2 linked regions of the Coturnix japonica genome follow. The protein of the gene in region 1 purifies or fractionates together with the protein of each later gene. This does not show direct contact. Links are inferred from orthologs where the notes say so. Each region holds a gene or a part of one and is shown on either strand. Other genes may lie near its edges.

Evidence for each region.
Region 2: the proteins of PSMF1 (region 1) and PSMA2 purify together in Homo sapiens (affinity purification with mass spectrometry; 3 studies listed by BioGRID and IntAct, with this or other methods). This does not show direct contact. The link is inferred for Coturnix japonica from reciprocal best matches to the Homo sapiens genes PSMF1 and PSMA2.

Annotation. Positions count from the first base shown.
Region 1 is NC_029535.1:9,160,810-9,165,160, forward strand, and holds the start of PSMF1 (proteasome inhibitor PI31 subunit), read left to right. Parts: upstream 1-1,382; 5' UTR 1,383-1,475; coding exon 1,476-1,604; intron 1,605-2,083; coding exon 2,084-2,236; intron 2,237-2,433; coding exon 2,434-2,516; intron 2,517-2,775; coding exon 2,776-2,961; intron 2,962-3,284; coding exon 3,285-3,338; intron 3,339-4,351. UniProt on the Homo sapiens protein: Plays an important role in control of proteasome function. Inhibits the hydrolysis of protein and peptide substrates by the 20S proteasome. Also inhibits the activation of the proteasome by the proteasome regulatory proteins PA700 and PA28.
Region 2 is NC_029517.1:74,583,135-74,587,364, forward strand, and holds the end of PSMA2 (proteasome subunit alpha type-2), read left to right. Parts: coding exon 1-82; intron 83-427; coding exon 428-509; intron 510-1,724; coding exon 1,725-1,798; intron 1,799-2,205; coding exon 2,206-2,263; intron 2,264-2,345; coding exon 2,346-2,462; 3' UTR 2,463-3,629; downstream 3,630-4,230.

The sequences.
Region 1 (4,351 bases):
ACATCCTATGAATGCTCCCGACATGGTAACTTACCCCATTCCTACTCCTGTCTTCTGTTTTAAAGGCTGCAGGACTTTCTGGAAGCTGATCATCTCCGTTGCTCCAACACCAGCACTGTTGTGACGCGCTTGCCTTGCAGCACTAATGAGCCGGCCCTGCAACCCTCGTCACCTCGTTAAGGATGTGGCTGCCAGTCCCAGCTGTGCTGCCCGCTGCCTCCCACTTTGTTTGCAGGCTGCAGGACTGGTGTGAGGGGAACTACTTGCATTTGGCCAGCGGTTTTCAGCACCAAAGAGCCACAGAGCAAGCCAGATGCTGGGACAGGAACTGAGTGGACCAGGCAGTGGCAGTGGGGCAACACAGTCTCTGCAAATGCAGCTTCAGTTTAATAGCAATGAGGCATGGGCACAGCTGTGGTGGGAACGTGGCCTCTGGGCAGGAAGATGTAGATGGGAAGACCCATCAGCTCTTGCTGGTGCCTGCACGGAGCTGGAAGCACTTTTGATATGAGGAAGGGAAAATAAATGAAGTTGCAGTGCAGATGTCAGGTCTCGTGCAGACCCTGACTGCAGAAGGAGACCCCAGGTTGATGCAAGGCTGGGATCAGCACTGCATTTAACCTCATCCTGGTTAAATCTGTCCAACAAAATGGAGCCAGAAAGTCAGTGCAGGCTCACCCTGCATGGCTCTGTCATACCATCTCATACCACAAAGGTCTTCCATGGAGCTGGGACTCCATTCGCAAGAGGTGCAACGTTTCCACAGCCACCAGGGAGATGATTCACGGGATTCAGTGCTGAGCAGCAGGACGGGCTGCGGTCAGTTGTTCAGCTTCAGTGACTTCTTGAGGGGGAAATGGAAAGAGTGGACAGTGCAAGTTAATTAATAGACGCACGGTGAAGTCAATATGAATCAGAGCATCCCCAAGGAGCTGGAGATGAGATTGGGAAAGCAGCAGATGATGCCTTTCCTTGGCACAGGGCTCCTTTATCCAGACAGTGGCTCATTGCCGTGCAGGTAACAAGGGAAGCGCTCAGTACAGGGGTGCATGTGAGCACAGATGCAGGTTTTTTAGACTTTTACTAACTGGGGCAGTAAATGTTCAGGTCGTAATGCTATAGGTGAGAAAGAGCCTGGGTTTAGCGAGCAGAAGCAGGGCAGGAACCAGCCCATGGACAGCAGCGAGCCCTGCCACATCCAACACGCCGCCTGCAAGGGGAGCAGCGGGGCAGCCCAGCAATACAAACACCTCCTCTCCCCACCTCCCCCCGCCCCCGGCGGCCATTTCAATTCACCACCCCATCCCCGCGGCCTCCTCCGGTCGCTGCGCAGCAGACGGGAGCCCCCTAGTGAGGGCCGGCCCGGCTCAGCCCGGGGACGCGGCTCCGGCCCGGCCTGGCTCGGCGTTAAGGGGAGGGCCCGGCCCGGCCCGGCCTAGTCTGGCCGCGCCTGCTCGGTGCGGAGCGGAGCGGCCATGGCGGGGCTGGAGCTGCTGTATTGCTCGGCTCAAGCCGGCATCTCCTGCCCGCAGGATGCGTTGGTTTGCGGCATCCATTGGGAGCTGATCCAGCACGGCTACCGCTGCCTCGGCGCCGGAGAGCAGGTACGGGGCGGGCAGCACCGCTTCTGGGCCCCGCTAGGCCGCGCCGATCCTCGGCCTTTCCTAGCGACTCACGCCGCCACCGCGCGGCCCAACCCGGCAGCTGCTGCCGGAGGGAAGGACTTGTGGGCCCTGTGGATGGGCCCTATGGATTGTCCCGGTACCGGCCAACGATGCGGCTGCGATGTGTTGTTGGGGTTTGGTGCTTTGGGGAGGCTGTTGTTACAGGGGTACCAGAGCTCAGATAGGGGGTGGGGAGCCTGGGGTGGTGCTGGGGGGTTGTATTGGGCTGCACTGCACTGTTTTGGCAGTAAAGTCTCCCAGACAGCCCCCCAATGCTTGGGAGCTATGGGTGTGATGAGTGATAGAGAGCACCGTCTCCTGCTTGGGGTCTTTGTTGCCTTCAGCTCAGCAAGGTGTGGTTGTGTGCCCTCCTGTTCTAGCTGCTAGCAGGTCTTACTGCCCTGTTTGTCTTCCTGTAGCCAGGTCCTGATGAAAGGAAGTCAGAGCTGCTGCCTGCTGGCTGGGAAACCAATAAGGAGGTGTATACACTGCGCTACAAGTCCACAGATGATGCCCGGGAACTGCTGCTGAAGGCCGTTGTGGTGGATGACAGCATGATCCTCAATGTCATGGTGAGCACCCAAACTGATTGCTGCAGGAATTAGAGTCCTTTCAGATGCAGTGTCTGCTACTGTCCAACATGCGAAGAACAGTAGAGCCAGTTTCTTAAATGTTTTGCTGCTACTTGTTCTGCCTTCCTGCATCATTTGTCCCATAGGGATGGCCCTCTGCCTGGCTGCTAACATCATGCTTCTCCTGTCTTTACTAGGATCGTGCTTCGCAGAAGGTGGCAGACGTGACCTTGGCGGTGGCTGACTACATCAACCCAGAGCACCTGAATGATTTCCACAAGTAATCTCAGTTCTCTGACATCTCCTGCAGGAGAAAAAGTCTCAGCAGCATGGGGAGGGGGACAGATGGGGTCAGAGATAAGGTTAAGAGGAACCTGGAGGACTCTTCTCTCCAGCACAAATTTAGGGTGCCAGCTGGGTACATGTTTTGTGCCAGGGATGCCAAAAGAATGTCTGTCCTCTCACCACCCCTGTCCAGCACCTTTGCACCTGAGTGCCATGGCCTTCCTGTCCCACCACACTGCTTCTCCTCCCTGCAGGGTGTACAAGAACATGGAAGAGTTGAGGACAAGGATTGTTTCAAGTATCATCTCTCCCCTTGGGGTTCCCACAGAGAAGGCCAAGAAGGATTCACAGGCAGAGAAGAAGGATCCTGTCTCACCCCAGGATTTTAACCCCCTCAGGATCCCTCCCCGGCACCCTGCAGGCGTGAGAGCACCATCCTGGTGAGTGAGCAGCGGGTTTCCACTGAAGGTCCTGGCACAAACTTTACCTCTGTATTGGTTGAGGGACCATCGGGGTTTGGGGGCTGGTGGAGCAGGGACAGCAGGGGAAAAGGCAGCGCTGTGGTATATGGCAGACAGGTTCTCCCCTCTGTTCCCCTGCAAGCCTTTGGCTGGAAGTCAGAGACACCGTGGTGGCTGTCTGCTTGAGCTTAGGGTGCAAGATACTCCTTCTAAAAGTGCAAGGACTGTCATTGTGTTGCTGGCTGGAGGCTGCACGAAGTCAGCCCTTCACTGAAAGTCTTATTCACTGTGTGCTGTTTCAGGCCTTCTCCTTTGAATCCCTTTGCTGTTGGTGGGCAGGACCTGGACCCTTTGGGGTGAGTATGGCTGGGGGAGGTGGTGCTTTGCATGTCCTGGGAGTGTCACCCAGCTCTGCCCTTTACTGAGGGACCTTCCCTGAAACAGCTGCAGTCGGTCTGGCTCAGGCATTGAGCAAAGTGTGTCTGAGTGCGGGTGGCAGCGGAACAGTTCCTCATTACAAATTGCAAAGGAGCAATTGACAGTTGCTAAACCTCAGTATGGTTCTAATATTGTAATAAGATCCCGTCGCTTGCTTAGATGATAGGTTGCAATCTGCGTCTGTTTAATAATCAGCCTGTATTCATTTAACATGAGCTAATTCCTTCAGTAAATCAAAGCTGAATACATCGTTAAGTGAATGTAAGTCTCTAATTTAAAATGGTACCAGCTGCTGCATTTACAGCCCAGCAGGCTTAAAGTTGAGTCCACAGATGCCCGAGTCCTGATTGTGAGCCTCCTGGCTTTTTGGGGCACTCAAGAGCAGGGAAGCTGGAGAAAGCCTGAGTGGAAGCCGGGCTGTTTGGAGGATTGATCTTCCCAGATGCATCTTTGGGTCTTTGGTTTGGTTGGGCAAGAAGAACCTGTCATCTGCCATTCCAGATAAAAGCACATCTTCAGACAAAAAACAGTCCTTGGAGTTGTTGCAAAGCGCCTTGCGGCCCAAGGGAGTCCTCCTTAGAACAGCTCTCCAGTGGGGATCACATTTTTTCCCTCTTGCAAGACTTGATTCTCTGTGGGTTTGGCTAGAAAAGGGCCGGCTAGAAACATCCTGCCCTACTGGAAGGAGAAGCTGGGGGTGACTGGAAGGAAACCTGATAGCATGAGGAAAAGGGGTTCAGTTGTGGGGGGACGACCCTGTTTTTCCCACTGCCTCCAGCTCTTCATTGACAGTTTCTCTGTAAGTGACAAAGGAATTATTGTAAGTGGAAGCAGATTTGTGTGCTGACACCTGTCAGCGCTGGGGCCAGAGACCCAGACTCCCAGGCTTATGCTCCTGGGGCCTGGCTGTCCTGGGGCGCTCTGGGCAGCC
Region 2 (4,230 bases), on another chromosome or scaffold:
TCTTGGTTTATCATGAGCCTATTCCAACAGCTCAACTAGTACAAAGAATTGCTTCTGTGATGCAGGAATATACGCAGTCTGGGTATGTGGTTTTCCAAAGTTTGCAGGTAGTTAGAACAGTAAAGTATGACAACTACCTGGTGATTAATTTTTAATGTCAAAAACGCAGATATTTTTCACTGGAAAATGATCATAGAAAGTGGGTGAGTAGGAGGACCAATAGCTGCAGTGGGTGAGATAGTTGTTATATCTTGAATTGGTTGACTAGTCATGATAACAGCTCTGTGCTGGTGGGAGGCCTTTGGGGAAATTTGATGCATCCGCAGTAAAGCAGCTTTGGTGTTCATTCAATACATTTATGAATTTAGCATGCCTGCTCTGAGTTGTTTTTTTTTTGTTTGTGTGGTGTTTTTTTATTTTTACGTAGAGGTGTTCGTCCATTTGGTGTATCACTGCTAATATGTGGCTGGAATGAGGGGCGGCCCTACTTATTTCAGTCAGATCCATCTGTAAGTATCTTACACTTGTAAATTCAACTGCTTCTGTAAAATATCTAAAATTTCGTATGTGCTTGTGAAATACTTTTTGTGGTTTGAAGGCTAGAAGTAAAGATTCCTTAACCAGAATTCAGAAGTCAGAATGATTCATGCTGGGAATGTGCCTGGAGTTTTGGCTGTTGTGCCAAAGGAAGTTTAGGAAGTGGGTGACACCTGCTTGCTTATTCTGTGCCTCCATATTTATGCATGACTGCATGAGGAATGGCAACAGTTTTTGAAGGACATCACCACCCTTTTTCATCTCTTCCTACCTGCTTGGTAGTAACAGCAACAGTCATTCTGGCATTCTGCATCAGGTACCAAGAAAAAGTATTTGACCTCAAATATGCAGTTCAAATAGTTATTCTCTAAGCTGTAGCAAAATTAGGCCAAAGTCTGTTCCACTGTGAAATGTGATGCAAATATTTTCAGATTTAGTGGCAGTGGTTAGTTTATGTGAGTTTATTTGCTGTGTTACAACAGTGTCTTTACTAAAAATTACCTGTTGATTTCCATGTAAGTTACCAGACTTTTCATCATATTAAAATATCTGTTACTCTCATGATCTTCAATAAGTTTCAGAAGTGTGAGTCACTGCCCGATGGTCAAATGTAAAAAACAAAATACAATGCCTTGTGTAAGGCATCTTGATTGAGCTATAGATAGGGTGTGATTGTCTTTATGCCACAGGAAAGAACAGGCCCAATGGCTAAATACCTTGGTAGTAGCTAAGATAAATCAGATGGCTGTTGTGTATCAAGTCTTTTGAAATGCATATATACACATGTATTTATTTGTGTATGTGCATAAACACACATACATATACCTATAAATATATATATACATTTATTTATATATGAGATGAGCCTCGTGAAAGAACTGACTGTTCATTCTCAAGGATAGAGTTTCTGTTCAACGAATCCCAAATCAAACTATGATAACAACTTACTAAATCTATTTTTCAAAGTATTGGCAGTTCTAATTTATCAGCAAGGCCCAATAAGAGTGTTTTATATGTTTCCATAGCAAATGTTTTCACATCAAATTAGTGTGAATGTAACCCAAAATAACCTCACATGTTTGCATAACATTCAGAATTTTTCTAATGGCTTCTGTACCTGTTACCAAACAACTGGATATGTAATGTTTGACTGAATTAGAAAAAACAATAGATTGTTGTTTTTACAGGGAGCTTATTTTGCTTGGAAAGCAACAGCAATGGGAAAAAATTACGTCAATGGAAAAACATTTCTTGAGAAAAGGTATGTGTATTTTTATAATGTCTAAAAGAATACTATCTCTTTTTCCAGGCTTCAGATAAAAGACTCAGGAAAATATAAATATATATACTTTTGAGTTAATGGTACAAAGATTTCAAATGCTTATGACACGATGTTTCTAATTACCATGTTAACATGTTAAACTTTTGTGTATATGATTAATTAATCCAGTACAATAAGCAGTGTGTTTATATATTTGCAAAAGCATTGTTCTACACAGTATCAGCAGCATTAGTGATTTCTTTAAATAATGATAACTGTTTTGAATATTAATATAGCAGTTCATACAACTACTTGGAGACTTGAATACTGTTTGAGTTTGTAGAAGTTCTAGACTTAGTAGGATTCAGAAAGATTGTACTGTGCTGAAATATGTGATCTTTTTACAGATACAATGAAGATTTGGAGCTTGAAGATGCCATTCATACAGCTATCTTAACATTAAAGGTTAGGAAAACATGTAAAGAATATGCATCTTACTCTTGCAATATCATTGAAATGATTCACTGAACTATATTTTCTTTAATAGGAGAGCTTTGAAGGGCAAATGACAGAAGACAACATTGAAGTTGGCATATGTAATGAAGCCGGTTTTAGGAGGCTAACTCCAACTGAGGTTAAGGACTACTTGGCTGCAATAGCCTAGTAGAAACCAAGTAAGACTGTGAGAATTCACACTAAGGTCTTTTTAATTTTGGCTCCTTCAATGTTTTTCTTTGCAGTTTTTGCATACTTATTTCTACATGGTTTGACAGATTTTTTAAATGTCATGGGTGAAAATGCAGCAGTCCTGATGTTGTAATAAATTGAATCTTAATACAGATTACTCTTCCCCTTGGTACATGGAAAGTTTGTACACCAAATACTGTACGAAATGTAAAGTTATACTGAACACATAAAAAGGCAAAATAATAAAGGTTGAAGGCCTCTGTTTTGCGGGAAAGTGTGTGCGTCTTTTTGTTTGTCTCTAGGAAGCTGAGATTTTGGTATCTTCATTGTTGAGGAAAATTTTTTCCACGTTAGCCATTGTGAACTTCTAAACTCTGTGCATACAAGAGCATTTTTTCACTTTGGAATTTAGTGTAATTATTAAGTAACTTCCTAAAATGGGTTGCTCTGGTGTAAAACATACTTCCATAGGCGTGTAGAACAGTCTTCGATTTGGGGGATGAACTGTGATTTACTCAAACAGCTCTGCTTCTGAGTGTCTACAATTGTCTCAGTCTTCGCATCTTAAGAGTTTGTTTTTTGTTAGTCATTTGACTTCTATGATCCTAGAAATTGAAATTCTTCAATCCTGTAATGCTGTTAGGAATAACAGAAACAATTGCTATAGATCAAAACCTAAATGCATTTACCAGTACTTTTAAAAATCAATGGGATGTGGAAAGCAAAATGAGAACATGTAATGTAATTACTTTATTCCTTGAATAATGCTGAAGTACTTTTCAACTTGCAAGATGGAATGGTAACGAAAAGATCACTAAATTTATGCATTGCTACTTTTAAACATGCAGAACTAGATACTTGAACATTATGGTGGGTATATGTACCATTAGTTTCTTCTGGTTCTTTCTTAAGTGTGTAGTGTCTGTAGGGTTATGTAGAAACAAACTGCACAAAAGAAAGAGGCTTAAATATACTTTTTTTAAAGTAGAAGTCTTTTAAAGTTACTGATAATGAAATGGAAACTACAATAGTTGGATCAGTCTGCTTGTATATTAGTAAAGTTAGCAGCCACACAGGTCAAATGTTAACCATCCATAACCAATGAAGAAAATAAAAAGTCTAAAAAAAGTGACATACAAACTAACTGATCTTTTCTATGTCTGTTTTCTAATGTTTTATGTTATCATTAGGCGAATAAGAATTTAGGCAAATAAGAATTTAGGCAAATAACAATTCAGTGATTCTGTGAATTTCTGAAACACACCATAAATTTTTATTTCATAATATCAAAAATAAAAATTTATGTTCAGATGGTTCTTTAAGATTTGTCCAGATCACTTTGTGAGTATTTTTTACACAAAACTAATTCATGTTCTGATTCTTAGCGAAAACTGAGCAACAAGGAAGTGTATCCAGAGACTATATTACTAGATTTTAATTTGTGCTCCCAGAATCATCATTCAGAAAAACTGAACTCTACCATAATATTTACATGCATCCAATCTGTTTTTAATGTTATATAGATAAGGGAATTTTGTATGCAAAAGAAGAAAAAAAAAAAAAAAAAAAAAAAAAAGCAGGTAGGTATTTAAGAAAATAGTTAGCATGAATGGCAGTAGGTTAGTTGCATCCTCTACTAGAAAGAGTTGATTAGAGAAGAGCACCCTGTGAAATGTAATCAAAACCAAAGTACTTCAATCGCAAGATAGTAATAGTAAAGCAAAGGAAAAATGTTTCGAGGTGTT